Lepisosteus oculatus: one gene and its partners. Each later gene encodes a partner of the first gene's protein in a complex. Links are inferred from orthologs where the notes say so. Each region holds a gene or a part of one and is shown on either strand. Other genes may lie near its edges.

Evidence for each region.
Region 2: exosc3 (region 1) and exosc5 share a complex: the UniProt entries of both Homo sapiens proteins name them as parts of the RNA exosome core complex. The link is inferred for Lepisosteus oculatus from reciprocal best matches to the Homo sapiens genes EXOSC3 and EXOSC5.
Region 3: exosc3 (region 1) and exosc6 share a complex: the UniProt entries of both Homo sapiens proteins name them as parts of the RNA exosome core complex. The link is inferred for Lepisosteus oculatus from reciprocal best matches to the Homo sapiens genes EXOSC3 and EXOSC6.

Annotation. Positions count from the first base shown.
Region 1 is NC_090696.1:33,369,005-33,376,694, forward strand, and holds the start of exosc3 (exosome complex component RRP40), read right to left. Parts: upstream 3,002-7,690; 5' UTR 2,977-3,001; coding exon 2,764-2,976; intron 1,638-2,763; coding exon 1,488-1,637; intron 1-1,487. Other genes in the region: myosin heavy chain, clone 203-like, read left to right, coding at 3,002-3,069; probable pancreatic secretory proteinase inhibitor, read right to left, coding at 7,163-7,208. UniProt on the Homo sapiens protein: Non-catalytic component of the RNA exosome complex which has 3'->5' exoribonuclease activity and participates in a multitude of cellular RNA processing and degradation events.
Region 2 is NC_090698.1:6,248,989-6,256,353, forward strand, and holds exosc5 (exosome complex component RRP46), read right to left. Parts: upstream 3,050-7,365; 5' UTR 3,016-3,049; coding exon 2,910-3,015; intron 2,357-2,909; coding exon 2,243-2,356; intron 1,117-2,242; coding exon 995-1,116; intron 719-994; coding exon 578-718; intron 352-577; coding exon 262-351; intron 181-261; coding exon 85-180; 3' UTR 15-84; downstream 1-14. Other genes in the region: bckdha (2-oxoisovalerate dehydrogenase subunit alpha, mitochondrial), read left to right, coding at 4,991-5,107, 6,121-6,297. UniProt on the Homo sapiens protein: Non-catalytic component of the RNA exosome complex which has 3'->5' exoribonuclease activity and participates in a multitude of cellular RNA processing and degradation events.
Region 3 is NC_090715.1:1,374,375-1,380,365, forward strand, and holds exosc6 (exosome complex component MTR3), read right to left. Parts: upstream 1,634-5,991; 5' UTR 1,592-1,633; coding exon 764-1,591; 3' UTR 606-763; downstream 1-605. Other genes in the region: aars1 (alanine--tRNA ligase, cytoplasmic), read left to right, coding at 4,356-4,499, 4,705-4,893, 5,444-5,589. UniProt on the Homo sapiens protein: Non-catalytic component of the RNA exosome complex which has 3'->5' exoribonuclease activity and participates in a multitude of cellular RNA processing and degradation events.

The DNA of each region.
Region 1 (7,690 bases):
ACATTTCAATTGTCTAAGTTAAACATCTGTTACCGAACCCTTGATCTAACTCTCCCCGAGTTGATGCCTGCTTTCAAAATGAACAATAGCATTATAACGTTCTGCTGTTCAAGCTTTATTTTTGTATGCACCACAACTCAAATCTTTAATATGAACAGAATATATTCAATTGACATTTTTTATTTCAATAAAATTTACTCCATTTCCAGAATAGCTTTACAACTCGGAACGAAAACATCTTTGGTCCCACGCACAGGCTGGATTACACTCAAACTGAGATCTTCACTTCAGCTAGGATGATGCTTCATTAGATTGCAAACAACTGAATGAATCAACTTACATAGCGCCTTTAAAAGTGCTTTACAGAAAGTTCTCTTTTTCGACTCGGAAGCTGGAGATCTTATGCTACTTGCGAAACACAGCAGTTGAAAGGCAACCTCCAACGTGCTTAGGAATTGAAACCAAAAGATTGAAGTCAGGGGTCTAATTATGTAATAGAGCAAAGCTGAAATGAAGTTGGGAACCCCTACTACAGAAGGTGTGACCTAAGATAACTGTAGCTCGTGATGGTAATATATAATGGCATATCCACAAAAACAGATTTGGGGGTTTTAAATTGCCTTTAGGGTTGAAATAAGACACAGCGAGACATGGACATTCTACTCCTTCTTCCTTCTTCTATAGTAGACAAGAACCTGGAATTACACAGCCCAAGAGCTGGTCACGATAGAAGAACTGGTGGTGTAGGGAGTAGTCCAGCTGCTCCCAAAAGGTATGGTGTGACGGCTGCTTTCTGAGCCCGCACCCACCTCACCCACACTGCAGCGCCTACTCAGATTCCCATCTGGGACTCGGAACACCCACAACACATTTTTGTTCTAATGGCTTCAAACATTGTACTTTTGTTTCCTATTACTAGACAACCTATTATATTTGAGAAAAACTAATGACTAAAAACTTCCTGAAACCCGTTTGAAGAGTTATAGCCTAATCACAGAAACGAGCTACAACTTTGCTTAAGTAGCACTGACAAAATTCTGCAGTTATGTCTCTGTCATTGTACTGCAGGAGACAAACGCTGCCAGTTAAATGTCGGAACCAAGCAATTTATTTATATGACGCTGCATGGCTTTTATGGTCTACATAAAACAGTTTCTTTGTAATACACAGATAAAGATTAGCTGCCATGAGAAGCCTGTCAGTATGATTTATTTTTTTGTAGGAACATTTTTAGCATAAAATGTAATTTAAGTTTAAAACCAAATTACTCTGGGTCTTTTTTCTTTGATTTTAAAGCCTGTGCACTGTAGCTTTTTAACCATTTTAACGCAGTAGCTAACTTGGTAGCGGTAGTACTCCCGCACTCCGGCGGACAGAACAATTTGATCACTAAGTGCATCTACATATGGTAACCTCACAGTCTGCCCCCTCCCCAGAAACGTCCAGTCTACCACACAGCCCCTGTACTCGTACTACAGAGCACGTACCTGAACATTCGGCCTGTTTCGTTTCGTTGCCCCTTCAAAAGCCAGGTAGGACAGAGAAGCTTGTTCACTTCCGCCAACGTCGACCTTGAAAACGTCGCCGGACTTTGCTGTCACAATACCAATGACACACTCCCCCTTCGCCGGGACGTACTGAAATATAAAAAAGGTATTTCTCACAATGCCAGATCTGTAAAATACACCAGACTTGTTTTGCCTGGGCAAAGCCTGCTGTTTATGGGCAAATCAGTCCGAAGATGTCTCATGGATGTCTGGTCTCCTGTTGAATGCAGCTGTATCCCTCATAAATCAGGGGAACATTTGTCATTTTCCTTTTAAATAGTACCTTTAAGAGCAATATTCTCAAGGCACTTGTAAAATATAAAAAGCACGTGTCACAGTAAAATTAATGAGCATTACACGGCAGAATCAGAAAAAAACTCAATCACAACCAAATAACTGAAGAAAATAAGGATAGATTTAAAAGCACCCAGTGTGGCTGAGTCCCTGGTTATTCTGAGATGGTTATGGAGTATTGGGGTGCAGCAACAGAGGGCCCCGTATTTGCCAGAGTGTGGAATAAGAGTGGAAACACAGCAAACCAGAAATCAGCTGACAGGAGGCCGCCTGGAGGGGAGGTAACAGTCTGCTAGATACTGAAGAACCAAAGCACATCTAGTCTTGAACTCAAGAAGAAATATTTCAAAATAAGAAAGGTTAAAAATACCATTCGCCCCATCTAGCACATTTGGTTATCTTTAATCTTAAACCAGATAGGTCAGCTGTAAACATTCTCGTTAAAAGCCCACAGTAGTACTGTGAGAGCATTTTACACCTCAGGCAATCATCTTTAGTTAAAGCAGCATATACAAATAACATTCTTATATGGTAAAATATTAAATTATATCAGCATGATTAAACAAATCTAAAAGACCTAACAGAGACCCGTCTGATGTACTACGTGTTTTAGGTAATAGTAAATCGAACTTTGCTATTAGTAGTTTGTGACTATGCAGAAGAAGCGCACTGCAGACAGAAACAGGTTGACAATATATGCAGGTGAATACTGGTCTCAGAAACGAGATGTGTTCTTGTTCTTGTGTAAATGTCTACATGAATGACATCAACCACGTGGGCGATTGCAAGCATTTTCATATAGATTAACTTCTTTAAATAACTTAAAAATAATTAAACAAGTGAACTTCTGTTGTTCATACGTTATACCAAACATTATATTTTACGCTCAGAAAAACTGCTGTGATGGATATCCACTCTTTACCCGTTTTTGCTGGGAATCTATCCAGTACAGATTCGGCTCCTTGTGACGCAAAATGCCACTTTTGCAAACAAGGATTTCATCTCCATTACGGCGCAGCCCGGGTCCACAAATAACTTTATCTTGTATATTACTTTCGGAACCTGGTGATTCAAACGAAAAAACATCGCCAGGTAGTAAAACCTCGCCAACTCTTTCTTTAAAGCTGTCCAGCATTGCTTCTGTGTTTTTATCTCAACAGTAACACGCGTTTCCGGCGGAGGGGAAACAGTGTTGCACGCAGAGCGCCCTGCCGGAAGAAGCGGTTGAGATCTCCGCGCAGCGACTGCGGCTCTGGTTAAGTGACGTCACGCATCAGTTAGCTGTTGTGCTGCGGAATTAGAAAAGTTCCCTACAAGTCAAAGAAAAAGGAACACGTGAAACGAATAGTTTTGAAAAAATACAATTCATATCAGGGCCTTACCACTTGTTTATTTGGAGTCCTCTGGTTTCTTCCTCATTTTCATTCTGGTAAAGCATTTCTGTTTTACACCACGGATGCGTTGGTTAACTCATTTTTAATTTTTAATTAAAAAACGGGGGACAATTGCTATTGTTCGCATTCTGGTGTTGTCACACGCTTACTTGCCTTACTCCGTGAATCTCACTAACTGTTCTTATACATAATAATAATATTAATAATAATAAATATAATGATAATTACACTAATTTGGTACTTTACTAGACCTATACAGGTAGGTAATAGGGACTCCCCTCCATCACCAATGTGCAGCCCCACCTGGATGATGCGACGGCAGCAGTAGTGCACCAGTACGCTCACCACACACCAATTATTTCATAAATGGGGAGTATTAGGAAGCAAAGATTGGTAAAGCGGGGGGGGCTTTAGTCAGGTTAAAATAACACCTGTACTATTTTCTAGAAACGCCCTAGGATTTTTAATGAGAACGGGGAGCCAGGACCTCGGTTTTACGCCTCATCCCAAGGACGGCACATTTCTTACAGTATGGCGCCCCCGTCACTATATGGGGGCGTTAGGACCTTCACAGACCTCAGGGTGAGCACCTTCTACTGGTGTCACTAGTAACAGCTCTTCTAGCAGTAACCGTACCTTTCCCAGGAGGTCTCCCAACCAGCTACTGGCCAGGCTCAAACCTGTTGAGCTTCAGTGGGTTGCCAGTTGTGAGTTGTAAATTGCAGGGTGACATAGCTGTTGGTAATAAAGCCTGTGAGAATTCTATGGGAATACACGGGTTCGCGTTAGAAAATAAATGACAACGTCCATAGAATAACTATTTATTTCTTTGTTTTTGCTGGAGTCGATTCAAGCTGTTATTGATGTTAGGACCAAAAAGTTGTGTAGCACACTTGGAATCTGACAGCTAGATCTCTCATACCCTCAGTGTCTCTTTCTGTTGGTTCCCAGCCGCAATTTCTCGTTGGCTGCGGCCAGGACAGGCTGCCTGACATCATACAGCCACAGGAGAGAGTAAAGCTGAGCTGAGCAGGTCTATGCAGAACTGCAGAAATCTGCGCAGAACTTCAGAAATCTGCGCCAGAGGGCTGAGATTATTCAAACCTGACCTGCAGCGACGTCTGTTGTATCAAACAAAAAACAGCACTGCAGTACGAAAGCGCGTTCCTGTTATCAAGGAAAAGGTATATCCCATGTGTTGTCTCGTAATTACGAGATAATTTACTATGTACTAATAATGTACCTTCTCGTCATAACACGATAATTGTTCTCGTAGGTACTATATGCCAAAGATACTTTGAATGTATGAACAACCTAATACATTGTGCAATGACAGCGCACAGAAGCGCAGTTGAAACTTTGGGTTTAGAGTTCATGACAATGTTCAACGCTGCAGACGGTGCACGCATGCGCTTTCGACTTTTGGTTTAGATACAATGTAGTTACTAATTTGTACCTAATGTAAACACAATCATTATAACCATAAGAACACTCAGATTTATCGTTAAACAAGGAGTATAGCATGCAATTGAATCCACTGCTTAAAACTGAAAGTCAACTAATATGTATTGAATGACATATTATTTGGGATTCTGCTTGTGCTTTTAAATACTTCTTAATACAATTCTCTCCATATTTGTATATAAGTTAAATGTGTCTAATCTCAAACCTTATACTATAAGATCAAATTCACACACACTACACTTCTAAATCTAAAGATGATTTTAAATTTTCCACATTCGTTCTTAAACCACAATACAGATCAAGGTTCAGTACTTGGTGTGCCCTCCATGGGCCTTTAGTAAAAAGCTATGTTCTGTGTTATGTCTTGTACCTGCCCGCAGTGTAAACATGCCAGATGGGACAATAAAGGAATTAAATAATTTAGCTGAGTATAATGTAGTGGATATGTTCACCTAACACAGAAAAGGTCCTCAGTTCATAACTGGGTGTAGACAAGCTGAATTGTCAATTGGCCTGGGTTTGATTCCTGGGCAACACAAGACTCCATCCCTACTAAAGAGGCTGAATGGCCTTCACTAATCCGTAATTATTCTTATGGGTTTATGAGATCTATTGATGCTGACAGGCCTATGACCACAAAGAATTCGACACCTACAGTAGCTACATTTAAGCTTTCCTCAATGAACAGGTTCCAGCTGTTGAGAAAATCCAGTCAAACAACAGTAAAGGTCGTTGAATGCAAAGAGATTTTTAGGCAGAATGGAAACTTTCTTCAAAAATGCGAAAAAGAGTCTTGGAGCATAGCAGTGCTAGGTTTTCCTCTTTGAAGCTGAATCACAGAGCGATCCAGGTTCCAGGGAGGTAAAGAGAGGAGTTTGAGAGCAACAAAGTGTGAAAAGGTTGGCTAGATAATTCAGGGCAGTAAATGTAACAACTCCCTTATCTGCAGAAACCTGAGGCTTCATTCCTTTCTGTTTATAAGAGTGGTTACAGCGATGAAGTAATATTGGAGTTGGGCAATTTAAGAGTAAACAGAAAAAAGTATGATTGTAAATTTACATTAGGTATACATACAGTACATTTTAAAAAAGGTTTAGTATTAAGTAAATATGAGTTCAGAGCAGGTCAAAGTTTAGTTTCTTTGTGACTGCAAGGCTGCATTATTTAATACTGTCTTTCCCTGAGACTCTTTTAAAACTAAAACGCTTCATTTTAGAAAGATCATATCTACCAGATTAGACAGTCTTTTATAAAGCTACTGTATCCAAGATCTTCTATTTACATTCACGATGTCTTGCCATTAGATGTTTTGGCTGAGCTCCTCCGTAGCACAGTGACTGGTACTATACATTTTTTGGCCGCTACGAAATCACATTGTAATGGATTTCTATGCTTATTTACATTTTCGCTTAATGGTTTGAAGACAACAATTATAACTCCAAAAGATTTTCAGTTTTGAGTCATCGATTAATCACCTTTTTCGTGTGCATTTAGACCTGGCTTTTATTACCATTGACTGATAATAATAACTTTTATTTATAAAGTGCCTTTCCAATCCAAAGGATGCTGCACATCATGAATAAAGAAAAAGACAAGAAAAGTACAATAAAAGTAAATGAAAAAAAAACAAAAGCACACAGGTTTTTACAAACTGACTGTAGGCAATCAGACATAGACCTAATAGTAAAGGTAAGTTATAAGTTTAGATTTGAAGAGAGTTAAAAGATGTTGTCTCTCGCAAAAGTCTGGGGAAGGCCATTCCACAACATTGGAGTAGCTGCAGATAGGGCACGGTCACCAAAAGTCTGTGATTTAGTCCTGGTGACAGTGAGTAAATGTCAGGCCTCAACTGAATGGAGTCTACAGGGGGGGAGTGAAAACATGGAGGATTTCAGAGAGGTACGATGGAGACAGATTGTTTAGAGCCTACAAAATCAACAACAAGATCTTGTATTGAATACGGAACTGTATAGGCAACCAATGCAAAGACTTAAGTGTAGGAGTGATACAGTATGCTGCCAGAGCCTGGTGTGAGTTAGTAGCCTAGCTGCCAAGTTTTTAACATACTGCATTGCAACTTGTTAAGAAGAGGGTTAGAGAGCCCATATAGTAACGAGTTGCAGGAATAAAGCCTTGATGTTATGAATGCATGAATCAGGCACTCAGCATTGGACATTGATAAAAATTGCCTAATGCGGGAAATGTTTCTAAGGTGAAAGAAAGATGTCTTAATCAAATTTTTCACATGTGGGTCAAAAGATACTAGAGGATCAAGTAGATTCTCTGAGGCTGATCATTTTTAAGTCCGAATTGTTTAAAATCTATTCATAAGCAACACCTTCCCACCCCTCCAAGTTCACCACAAACACAAAGGAAGGATGCAGAAATCGGGTTTTATTAGTATTAATATCAAGACACATACAAGGGTTTTTCTCCTCGAGGTGAAAGGACACTGACCATTCCTCAGCATGTCCCATCCTTGGCGATTAAGATGTCCGCCTTGGTCAGCCTGGAGATACAAGAACATGAAACATATATAAATATGGCTAACACAGTGTATCAGCTGATTTCACACCTAGTCTTTATTTTACACATTCTTTAAAAGTGTTACACATACAATGCGTGCTTAGAAAGGCAGTGTGGCCTATATCACACTATATTAACACACTATATTAAACATTTATCACACATTGGATCCAGGCATCATTGTTGCGGTGGTTACAAATGACCAAAGAGCAAGGTTGACATGTCCATACATAGTTTTTACAAATTGACCAGAAGAAGACTTGTCTTACTAATGAACAAATATGAAAAAATGTTGTTTTTATTTTATATGCACTATTAATCTTATGTCTTCATGCATATAACCTGATTATAACACACCCAAAACCTTTGAGGTAATTGTGGACTTCAGGCACTCACAGGATCTCAAATCCCCCATCTCCATCAATGGTCAATAAATAGCCATAACTGACTCATATGAACTGGGCA
Region 2 (7,365 bases), on another chromosome or scaffold:
CACATCAAATACCATCACATGAACCAGTCTTATTTATAATTAATACAAAAAGGCACAGAAAGGGAGAGAGGAGCAGAGGCGGAGTCACAGCATCTTGGAGTATCTCCTACTGACAGAGTCTCTGTAGAACTGGAAGATCTTCCCTGATGCCCGCTGACTGACTGCGATGCACTGCTGCAGCTGGAGAGGCAGAGGACACTGGGTTATTACAGAAAGGAGCTGCAGTGCACAAACACAAGACTGAGAGCTCCAGCAGCTTACCTCACTCACTGAGAAGGACCCTTTGGTCGATGACATCATCACTCTGCGCTCTGCACTGTCAATGGCAAATGTCATCACTGCGCGGCTCTCCTGTGATTTAGAGATGGGGAAAGAGAGACTGTCACATAAAAAAAATGGGTGGAAAGGAGGTTCAGACTAGGGGGGCAGTGTTGGTCAGTGTGTGGGGATCCCTAGGGGTCCAGTCAATACACCGTACGGACCAGTGTCTAGGGGCACTTGTTGAGTCAGTGAAGCAGTCAGTGTTGGAGGGGTCAGTGTATGTACAAGGTTGTACACACTGTGCACTGTACAGTACCCTCTCCTGTGCAGCAGTGGGGTCAGTGTGGATGTGGCCCTCAGGGTCAATGGCACAGGTCACCCCACAGAAAAGGCAGCGCATGGGCAGTCCCGCGTCCATCAAGGCCATACAAGCAGCATTCAAACTGCACGCCAACAGCTGGGGTCCTCACTAAGGAACAGGACTCAGAGAGACAGACTGGCCTTACTGCACACAGAGACAGACAGAGACACACAGACTGGCCTTACTGCACACAGAGACAGACAGAGACACACAGACTGGCCTTACTGCACACAGAGACAGACAGAGACACACAGACTGGCCTTACTGCACACAGAGACAGACAGAGACACACAGACTGGCCTTACTGCACACAGAGACAGACAGAGACACACAGACTGGTCTTCCTGCACACAGACACATTGTGAAGGATACTGCCCCATCATCATGGACGACCTGCAGGACGAGGGTGAGGGAGGAGCGCGGGTGGAGAGAGGAGAGGAGAGCCGCCTTGCACGTCTCTCGCACGCACTGCTCACGAGAGCGCTCGGCCACTCCTGCACACTCAGACCGGGAGAGAGGGAGAGACAGAGAGAGTCTTGACAACCTCTCGTTCACAAACTTTAAAACACCACCACCAGGCTTTTGCTTGAGCAACAAAGGACGACAATTTTCAAAGTGAGACAACAAAGCACTGAATCGTCAAAGCAGCTGTGAACCACACCCTGCACTGCTAGAGCTCTCATTACCTTCGAGACAGAAGGAGGGAGACGGGACAGAGATAAAAGAGAGAAAAACATGGAGAGAAACAAAAGAATAAAGTGGTGAGGTGGGTTAAAAGAAAAGAAGGGAGAAGGAGATGAGAAGGAGGAGGACACAGACAGCAGAGGGTTAATGCAGCCCATCAGGGTAGCGATCAGTGTTTGGTTATTATACATGAAGCTGCTGCCACACTGTGGCGAACAGTAGTATTGGACATCTAACACTTGCAAGGTGATATTGCAAACATCAAATGTTTCTTCTGGGGGTGTTCTCCACACTGTCAGGGTCAGTTTAGTCATGTGTTTATTACACAATGTTGAGCCTTTCATCCCAAAGTGCAACATATATAACTGCACATCAGTAGGAGAGAGAAACTACCTCACCAGCTGAATAAAGGGGAACTTTAAGTAGGGCAGACTGTTTCAGACCAGAGTGGAATTTGGTCAAACCTCTTGTGTTAACTAATCTACTGAGATGAACAGTACAAGGTATCTTTAACAATCAAGTATTCAGAACCTCAGTTTAAAATCTCACCAGACGGACAGAACCTCCTGTTGCACAGTGTCCCCTGTCAGCATGCTAGGACTTTTTTAATGAAACATTTAGTTTTGTATTGGAAATTAACTTGAAGAGGGAAGGGTTCCCCCTACTGGTCCGCAAGTGCTACATCCTGCAGAAGCCTTGTTTTCCCATCACTGTCCTGTCCAGTTCCAGATTTGCTTAGTTTCTAAGACCTGACAAGATAAGGTTGCAGACTGCAAGGTGGTACTGCTGGTGCGTATGGCCTGCAGACAAAGAGAGTATGGCTGAAGATAATAAAGAATACAGCGCACTGCTGGTCAGCGCTACACAACACTCTCCGCCTGTATACCCTGATGCAGTGTGGTGTGTGCAGAGCAGAGACAGGCGGTTAGCTCTCACCTGGCAGGCCCACTTTCGGCTGGATCAGAACCTCCATTGTAGCCCGATCATAAATCTCCTTACTGACCTTCACCTCCGCTGGCCCGTACACCCCAGCCAGGACACTGGTGTCTCCTGCAGACACACAGAGTGAGCGGTCAAGACAGCCGCACGTACAGACACACACACAGAGAGTGACCCGTCAAGACAGCGGCATGTGTACAGACACAGAGTGAGCGGTCAAGACAGCGGCACGGGCACAGAGTGAGCGGTCAAGACAGCGGCACGGGCACAGAGTGACCGGTCAAGACAGCGGCATGTGTACAGACACAGAGTGAGCGGTCAAGACAGCGGCACGGGCACAGAGTGAGCGGTCAAGACAGCGGCATGTGTACAGACACAGAGTGAGCGGTCAAGACAGCGGCACGGGCACAGAGTGACCGGTCAAGACAGCGGCACGGGCACAGAGTGAGCGGTCAAGACAGCGGCACGGGCACAGAGAGTGCATAACATAGGGCCCAAACGCACTATAGAGCTAGAAGAGGACCTTCCGAACTCATTCAGAACCAGATAAAAATGAAGCATGAGGGAAGAAACAACGAAACCTTGTTTGTGCCCAAGTGGACTCGCGTGAAGACAGCGCTTGCAATTAAATCCTTTTTTAAAAAAATGTAAAGCATGAACATACCCTGCACGAACGAGGCCGAACCATCCGGTCTTGACAGCAGGTTCTGTTCGCAGCCGAACTCCCTCAGAGCTGTGGTGGGGTGAGTCGAGCTCTCCTCCACTTCCATCGTGTGTACCAAGCAGTGCGGTGTTTCTGCGGCGCAGACCTAATACGTCACTAAATAGAGCCCTTCCAGAATCTTAAACAAAGGCGCTGGTAAATGACGTTCACCACTGTGCTGAATTTTGTGACCATTTAAACCTATAACGTCAAATTGACAGACACATTTTCTGTGAATACTGCTAGTGTTTTTGTACATTTTTTATGTTTTTGAACAATTCCTATGTAAAAACAACAGATCTGAAATTCAGTTAGATATTAGATATTTTTAATCACTTTATCATTTAAATCGTTAAACTTTTTTAAACACCATATTTGTTTCATTATTATTTTATAAGAGTCAAGATGCTTCTCAGAGGGATGTTCTACTGCAATTAGAAATAGTCAAAAACATTTTTATTGTATTAATGTTTTATTTAAGCATCAGGAATACAAAAATGAGACAAAATATTAATACAGATACAAAAATAGACACACTTCACAGCCAGAGGAATTCACAATTATAAAAGCTGAAAATTAAACTTTTTACATAATTCCATTGAATGTCTTGCCTTTTGATTTTTAACATTTCTAATAGAATTTAAATAAAAAAGGACTTCTACCTTGAAAGTATTAATAGAGGGAGCAGTATTAGACCATTTACTTTTTTTGGATGTATTTTGTATTTTGCCAAAATAATTAACCGATTAATAATAAAAACATATCCTTTATCCAAATCAGGTCTAATAAAATATAAAATAATATCAAAATCTAAATTTAACATTTAAAACAATCCAAAACAATGTTGTATATACTGTAAGCAATTAGCTTCGAACAGCTCCAACTGACCTGTGGCTCAGAACTTTATATCTGTTTTGAAGGATCATTTATAAATACTATACTGTATTGTATAAAGACCACAGTGCTTTAAAAAAATTCTAATTCATTTAAGCTATACTCAGATTCATTAAAAATATTTAAAAATATGCTTGGTGAGTTGGTTTACAGAAATCATTTACCATATAAACATATTATTTAATGTGACCCCTAACACCACGCAACCTCTGTACTGTTGATAACGTTTTAACTGATTTAGAAGGTAATGATTCACAGTAATGAGGACTCCCCTCCACCACCACCAGTGTGCAGCCCCACCTGGATGATGCACCAGAACGCACCAGCTTTGGTGGGGAGGAGAGCAGAGTGATTAAGTCAGTTCAGAGATGGGGATTATTAGGAGGCCGTGATTGGTAAAGGCCAGGGGGAAATTTGGCCAGGACGCCAGGGTAACAACCTAATGCCCTGGGATTTTTAATGACCACTGAGAGTCAGGATCTAAGTTTTACATGTCATCCGAAGGATGTCCCCTTTTTACAGTATCACCATACTGGGGCATTAGAACCCACACAGACTACGAAGACCCCCTGCTGGCCCCACTAACACCTCTTTCAGCAGCAACCTTAGCTTTCCCAGGAGGTCTCTCATCCAGGTACTGATCAGGCTCACACCTGCTGAGCTCCAGTGGGCTGCCAGTTGTGAGCTGCAGGGTGATAGGGCTGCTAGCCATGGAGTTGTTATTCTGTTCCATTCATTAGATGTTGCCTTTGTGCTGTCATGTTGTGACATCTGAATGTGCATACCCTTGTTTGTTGTAGTTTCTTTTTTTGTATTTAAATAAGAAATAAAAGAAAAACCCGCTTACAGAATCACGTGACGCACAGCGCCTAGTAATTGGGTCCATCCATGAAAGTCGTGATAGAAGGCTACAGCGATGCCTGAATACAAACAAAGCAGATAATCAACGACACGCCTTTTAGCGCTCTTTTATAAACATGATTTACTAATAAACTTATTTTTTACGCAATGAAAATAAATATATGTCTCCATCTTTCATATTTTGAGTTGTTTTGAGTTTTTTTGTTGCCACTCGTGTGTTTTCTGGGACCTTGACGATTGAGGTGCCTGGAGCTCCACAGGGCAGCTTGTCAGACCCAAGATCCAAGATGGCGGCGGCTGGAGGTCTCAGGAGTCTGTGCAGAATCGGATTCAAATCAATCTGTCACAACACCGGATTTTATCCCAAATTACGACATTGCCCGGGCAGGGCTTTCCGTGTTAATGTGAGTGACGATTCTCCCCCTTTCACGGCCAATCCCGTCGATAAACCGTGGAGAAGCCACGTTCACTGAAATTCAATACGGCTTTCAACTGCGGCTTTTGCAGTAATCAGACAGGTGTTTTAACATGTATAGATTAATAATAGAGCTACGTTTCATTGCTATTATTATTAGTTGTGAATATATACATTGCATTGTTGTTATTAATATGGTTGTTGTTGATATTGTTGTCTTGAAAATTGTGATGAGGTTATGATTACTACTATAATGACGGGATTGAAAAAAGTCTGCTTTTGTCATCTTTTACGCACAAGGCTACCTTTATAGTGCGATTGTGTTTATCTGAAATGTGTTTATCGTTGTACTGCTAAATGGATTCTACATCACAATCCACCGCTTTGACTAACTGCGTATATATACAAAAACACAGTTCGTGTACACACAGCAGTCTAATAAATGGAAAGCCTGTCTTGATATCGCTTTATCTGCAAAAGCGCTTGTGTTGTTCCGAGATTGTGAGTTGTTAGAATAACTTTGGGATCACCTCGAGTCTTTGGCTCGAGGCTGGGTGGTCTGGGCTGCTGATTGGTCAATTTAGGGGGCGGAGGCGTTTCGCCTGTAAAATAGGGTCACCTTAAATATGTGTTCGGTTGCCGAGGGAAGATGAGGTGTGCGTGAATCTCGGATTTTTCCCAAACCCCTGTCGTCATTATTATTTTAATAAAATAATAGTAACCGAACACTATAAGTTGGTCTCGTTGAATAATGTAGTGTCAGCGTGCAACTATGTAATTTGTTTGTTTTAACCCCTCTGTCTCTCAGTGCTGTCAGTGTGCAGGAGTGTGGATTGTGTGTGTTTTAACCCCTCTGTCTCTCTGTGTTGTCAGTGTGCAGGAGTGTGGATTGTGTGTGTTTTAACCCCTCTGTCTCTCTGTGCTGTCAGTGTGCAGGAGTGCGGACTGTTCATGTTTGAATTGCTCTGTGTCCATTATTAATGTCTGTTTCTTCCCTTCCAGGCGGTGTTGAGGCAGCAGACCTTCGATTCCCTGGATGAGAAGCCTCAGTTCCCCGGGGCGTCCGCGGATTTTGTGGATCACCTGGAGTTCATCCAGCCTAATGTCATCTCGGGCATCCCGGTGTACCGCGTGATGGACAGGCAGGGCCAAATCATCAACCCGGCCGAGGACCCCCAGGTGCCTGCTCACCCGCCTCTGTCCACACGAGTCCCACTCTTCTCTTCCTGTTCCCCTCTCCTGTCCTCTCTCACTCCTCCCTCATCGCTGCTTCTCATCTCACTCTCTCTGTGCCTCTCTGTGCCCCAACCCCTCCCTTCTGCCCCCCTACTGCCTCTCTCTGCCCCCCTACTGCCTCTCTCTTGCCTCTCTACTGCCTCCCTCCTGTCTCATTCTGCCTTTCTACGGCCCCCTACTGCCACTCTCTGCCTCTCTTCTGTCTCTCGCTGCCTCCCAACTGTCTCTCTCCGCCTCCCCACACTCTCCTTCCCCCTTTCTCTGTCTCTCAGCTCCACAGCTCTCATTTCCCTTTTCCTCTCCGTGGTCTTCTCTCCCTTCGTCCTGCTGCTGTCTGGCTGTGGTCGCTGAGCTCTTGGGGCCATGGTGAAAGGGCAGGCAGAGCTGCCCGCGCAGGTCCTCAGAGGAGCCTGAAAGTCTCCAGGAGGGCTCGGCGGGAGCGAGGCCTTAACGAGAGAGGATGAAGTAGCGGTGCAGGCTGATTGAAAATGGAGCTGTCTGAATTATTACGGAGCACGAAGAAGGGTGCCCTGATGCAGCAGGAGGCTGGCATGAGTACAGCTATCTGAATTAATGCCATCAGCTGAAGCAGTCTGCTCGGGGGCCTGACTGAGATTGGGAGGGTCTGTGTGATTGAAGAAGCATCAGTGGCCCTGGGGAGATTCGTCCTGAGTGAGGTCACACGGGGTCAGAAGGAGGCCAGGAGTCTGTCCGAATGCGCTGGTTGCCCAGGGCAACATTGGGATGCAAGCAGCTCCCAGCCACACCCCAGAGTTGTGGGATCAGGGGAGCGAGAGACAGCCTGTGCAGATTCAGCCTTCCCTGAGCTCAGTACGGACAGCAGCTCAGCACACTGCTGGGCTTTCTCACCTGTCTGATACAGCATGTCCCCATGCAGTGTGTTTCAGGATCAGGTGGTTTCCATCCTTTTCTGTGAAGTTAATTTCTCCTTCTCTTAACAACCTCGTTAGGAGAAAGTCAATTAGAAAGTCTTTTATTGCTGTACTTCTG
Region 3 (5,991 bases), on another chromosome or scaffold:
TCTACCTTAGAACAAATTGATCACTGGAATCTAGTTATAGTCTCAAGAGGGTACTTTTAACTACTGCTATTGGAGCAGATATACTCAAGAGGTAACTAAAATATTTCTGAATCACACCTGTAAGTATACACTGGCAAAACATTTTCAGAAATCTAAAAGGAAATACTGAACATGGAGTTCTGCTTTCAAAGACCATGGTGAACAAGTTTGTAGACTCATTGACAGAAAATAGCCTTCATGAGTCCAAGATTAGTGTTGATCAGGGTCTGTAACCAGTCACACTGCACACACACAAAACTGTCTCTTGATAGACAGACTTCTGATTTACTCAAGAGCTTCATTCAAGTGTGTCAGGTGTCCATTTGAAAGGAAAACAAGTATCTGAATAAACGATCAAGTTTTTATGAATGAAAATAGTTTTGGACAATTCAGGAGGATCAACTCCCACACACACACACATCCATACAAAACAGAGTCGGGAATAATTCCCTGATGTCGGTGTCACTGGATCTCGAGGGATCCTCACTTTCTACGTGTTCAGTGTTTTTGCAAAATACAGTTTTGCGTTTGTCGCACGGGAAAAGAAAAAGGAAAAGCAAACGAACTGACTCACAGGAACGTTTAATAGAAAAATCAGACGGCACAAATCGTCCGTGATGTATATGACAAAAATAAATATCTCGTCTCTGAGAAACGCTTCGCCGACAGAAAGAAGCGCGTCTTCAAGTTCACTCGCTGTCCGGCAGCTCCAGCAAGTTCGCCCTCAGACGGCTGTCGGAGGCGCTTTCCTCCGCACAGCCCTCGCCAAGGCCTGCTGGATAACGGGGTACAGGCGCTGGCACCCCTCGATGCAGGCTTTCACAGCCCCCACCAGCGTGTCCTCCGCCATCTCCCCGTCCGACTGCAGCCCCGACACCTGGTGGAGGCTGGGCAGCAGAGCCACAGTCACCCTGCCCTGGTTCTCTCCAGACCCGGCGGACTGGGCGCCGCTCTCCTCCGCGAAAGTGGGGTCGATGAGGAAGGAGGGCCCGTCCTGCCTCAGCGCGCAGCCCAGGACCAGGTCGTACATCTCGATCCCGGCGTCCGCCAGCGCCAGGGAGGCGCAGGTGACGGCGTGGGCCAGAACCGAGCCGTCGTGCTCCAGCGCCACCACGTTGACCTCGATCTGCGAGCGGGGGTACTTGTGCAGACAGGCTGCGGGCAGCAGGCTCTCCAGCATCCCCAGAGACAGATCCTTCTCTTCGCTGCCCTGGATCCAGGAGCCCCTCTTCGGGCACGAAAACGGGGCGAAGCGAAAGTCACACACCAGCCTGCCGGACTTCATGTCCACCTCGTCCTTCCTGTCGGTCTCCCGTGGTCCGTACACCGAGCAGATCAGCTTCGTGTTCCCCGCCTCGATGTAGGCAGACCCCTTTGCCTGGCTGATCAGTCCGCATCGCGCAAATACGGGCCGCACGTCGGCCTGGCTCCGCTGCCTCCCGTCCTCCCTGCCTTCCTGCGGACATTCAGGCTTCCTGGTGCTCGGGAGGACGAAAAGTAACGGAGACTGAGACTCATCTGGACCCCTCACTCGCTTGGTATCCACCGGCATGGCTGGTGTGGAAATACCATAGACAACAGTGCGCAATAGTCTTTTGTAGATTACACTTCCTGTACACTGCGGGCAGAGGTTCATGGGATACGGAAAGACCTCCGAACGAAGGTTTTGGAGGAGAGGGATGTGCGCCGGATATAATTGCCTTTCCGCGCCGATACGGCATGCAGTATATTAAGTTATTCTAGATGTATGAGTTTCTGTTGTAAATACTGACTTTTCGAGATCATGGCCGTTAGTAATTTTGACGAGCAAAACGTTTTCGTATGACGTCACAACGTTACTTCCCGAGAAAGGGCAACAGATGATAAAATGTAGAGACGGCATTTACAAGATTTAGTTTTTTATTCTAATATATGTAAGTATTTTTTAATCCCGGCAAGCAAGGGATACAAGGCAGGACACACTCGCACCAGGGCCAACTTTCCAAGCTGCCAGTTTGTGTTTGGACTGTGGGAGGAAACCCACACAGGAAGCACACCCAGGAATGGAACCCAGACTCCAAGCACTACACTATAGCAAAGCTAACTACTGTACCACTGTACCCTAATAAGACCACTGCTTAACCAGTAGGTAGGCCAGATTGGAGATGCCCCTGATCTAAATTAAATTAGACAGGACACCAAGATGACACCCTCTTATGAGGCCTATTGTGGGATCCTTCATGACCAAGCCTTAGTGTAAGGTCATATGTGAGGGTCCTACAGCACCGTGCTGCCAGTCACCATACTGGGGCATCGGTTTGCATACTTTGAGCCAGGTGAAAGATCGCCTCCTGCTGGAGTACCAACACCTGTTACAGCAGCAACCTGTTTCCTTCAGAGGGCTCCCACCCCAGTACTGGCCATGCCCAGCTCTGATGAGGTTGTGAGATCTGATGAGATCACGACAAGCCAGCAGTATTGCTGTCCAGCTCTTTGGAGCGTGATCAGTACCCACCCTATTTTTTTCTGCATGTTGTGTCCCTGCGTGTTAAGGACTACAAGCAAAAACAGACTGTATACTGAGCGTTATTTTCTTAAAACTATTGTTGTTTCAAGACCTATGTGCATGCAACGAACATGCATAACATTAGAATGGAAGGTTATTAACACTGCCTTTTTAAAAACTCGTGTTTCAGCTGTATAAAGCCCTGAAAGTCCGAGTACGTGGGCGCCACACCGGGTTAATGACAGATCTGCAGTACGCGCTATGCGCTGCAGCTCTTCCACACGAGCCGACTTACGGATAAATTGCATCAGCCGCACTCGGCGTCTCCGCGCGGCCGAAAATAACCGGTTTGTGCCTCTGCGTAAGACTGACATCCCGTGCAGCCAATCCGCACCGAGAAACAGTTAACTTCCTGCTGCAGCGAACCAATGGCCACCAGGGAAAGGCGGGGCAAAGGGGTAAGGCGTGTGGTTTTGCCGGTGCGAGGCAGTGGTCTGCTGAGCGTGTGGAGATTGGAGGGTTTCAGACTACATGTGAGTTATGTCTACTGTATTGTGCTTCTTTTTTGAGAATTAAAGGCTAGATTTTATGTGTTCGTTCCTAATATGTGTGGTTTTATTGATTATGTATCATTATGATAAGCTATTACGAGCTCTGCCTGGTTGTTGAGGGTTATTTTGGTCAGGTGACTCTAACGTAGCTTCTATAAATCTGATTTCTTTTGTCTGAACCCACATAAAGGTTTCTGATGGATTATTTCTGATGTTACAGTACGAGCGAATGTGAGACATTTTGTTCCGTAACTGGTGGATCGTTCTGTGCAGGTAGAAGATGCATACAATATAATTTGTGTTTGTGACCGTGATATTAATGTCCGACGCTCGATTGCGTCGTAAGCCTGCTGTCAGAAGCGGCGGTGTTTTTGTGGCACCACGAAAACATGATCATTCAGTCATATGTTTCAGCAAATAAAAGTGCAGACGTCATTATTCCTTATCACGTCTCCACAAAAAAAAAAGGCAGTGTTATCGTAAGTAACTACTGTGATTGTACATATATTTGCTCTCAGAAGTAGCGCATGCACTACAGGAATAAAGAGCCGAGAGTCAAGTCCTTGCGGGGTTCAGCGCAGTCTTGCTGTTCGGAAGCTGCAGAGGTGAAGCTCAGGGTAGAGGCGGGCGGGTTGAAGACGCGATCGAATCGATTCCAGCGGTGAGGTGTGACGATTTGGACACTTTCTGCAAAGCCTACACTCGCGAAACGTGGACACCCCCCCGCGGGTAAAAACCATGCAGTGCCCTGTCGCATCACGTGACAGCGCGGCGTGTTTTAAAAGCCCCGCCGAGTCCTCGCGGGGGGGTGTCTGCAGAGCTGCCCGCACAGGCGTGGACGAGGTGCCGCCTGCAGGCCTGTTGCTCGCCGGCTCGTCACTGAAGTGCGTGAGAGCAAGGTGTAAGGGAGGCCAGGGTCACCTGGGGTGTGAGTGCTTGAGCAGTTCAGAGGGAGCGAGGCTGCGCTGTTAACGTGCACTATCGTGTGCTCTTGAAGTTCATTGAGGAGAGAAGCAGGTATAAGTTATTTGCAAGAAGGCAGCGCTCGTTTCTCCCTGCTTGTGTGCATCCAGACGAAGAGCTCGACTGTGACGTCATTCTTTGGCAGTTTAGTCTTTATTGTGTCTGGGGAGATTTGCTGCAGCCCAGCTGTTCCCAGGTGGGCTGTTGCTGGGAACAGGTTCCGACAGGTTGGGGAATGCCCCGGGGGCGCAGGCCTGCCGCCCTCTCTGACCCCGCGCGCCCCTCTCTGTCCCGCCCTTCCAGAAGCTGCTTCCACGATGGACTCGTCGCTGACGGCCGCGCAGATCCGGGAGAGGTTCATCGCCTTCTTCCAGAGGCACGAGCACCAGTATGTGCACTCCTCCTCCACCATCCCGCTGGATGACCCCACGCTGCTCTTCGCCAACGCCGGCATGAACCAGGCAGGTGTCCCCCCGGTCACTGAGCACCCACGTCCGGGTCTGGGAACCCCTCGCTCTGCAAGGGCGCCCACAACTGGAGAAGGGGGCATGCCTGCGTCCCTCTCTGGCACGAGCGGACTCTCGTTCTTCCTCCCCCGCGTTCTGGCTCTGGTCCCCTCTCTCGGCGGCCTGTCCTCAGTCTCCCTCTCGCTCTCTCCCCGCGCAGTTCAAGCCCATCTTCCTGAACACCATCGACCCCGCCCACCCCATGGCCAAGCTGCGCCGCGCTGCCAACACGCAGAAGTGCATCCGCGCCGGCGGCAAGCACAACGACCTGGACGACGTGGGCAAGGACGTCTACCACCACACCTTCTTCGAGATGCTGGGCTCCTGGTCCTTCGGGGACTACTTCAAGGTGAGGGGCGCACCCCGGGAGCCCCAGTCTGGAACCCCCAAGCTGCAGCTTTGCTAATGTTTCTAGTTTATTCCATCCATCCATTTTCTAGCAGCTTTATCCAGCTCAGGGTCGATGGGAAACTGGAGTCTTTCCCAGCAGTCAGTGGGTGCGAGGCAGAACACACCCTGGACTAGACGCCAGTCCATTGCAGGGCACACACAGACACACACACTCACGTCGGGGGCAGTTTCCCAGAAACCAGTTAACCCACCAGCATGTCTTTGGACTGTGGGAGGAAACCCACACAAACACAGAGAGAACGTACAGGTCCAGAACTGAGCCCAGGGCCCCAGCACAGCCAGGCAACAACACTAACCACTGCACCTCCCTTGGCATTCCTGGCTTCTTTTTTATTCATTATTTCTTTAACCCTTTGTCTTGGGGGATTCTTACTGAATCACCTTCCAATTTTATTTTTTTAAAATAAAAACAGCTGTTTGTCAGCAGAGGATCTGCTGGGAGGGCCCCCTGCTGTCCGAATGAGTCTGATTGTGTCTGTCTGCTGTAGCACCTGGCGTGCCAGATGGCCCTGGAGCTGCTGACGAAGGAGTTCGGGATCCCCATCGAACGTCTGTACGTCACTTACTTCGGAGGGCACGAGGAGGCGGGCCTGGAGCCGGACCTGGAGTGCAGGCAGATCTGGCTGGACCTGGGGTGAGTGTCTCCTCGACGCCTCCCTCTCTCCTCTTCCACCCTCCTGCTCTGCCAAGTGAGCTTTCTGGGATGGCAGCCCAGAAAGGGAGCAGCGTCCGTCATATTCAGTATCGGTCAATGCGATCAGTCAGTTTTTTTCTAATATAGCACCTCAATCCAGGGCATTCTAGATGAATTATACCATATCTGGTGATAATAAGTTACTAGAGTTTCAAAAATCTCATTTATCAAGATGTTGAACAGGAGGAACTTTGTCTTTTAAGATTTTCCCTGTTGTCTCTGTGTTTTTTCAGGTCTTTTTGTTTGTGAAATTCTGCACTTAAACAATTTGTAGATGGATTTTGCTCCCCTTTATCACATTTCTCCTTGAAGACAAAAGCTCACCTCTCTGTCAGCGCAGCT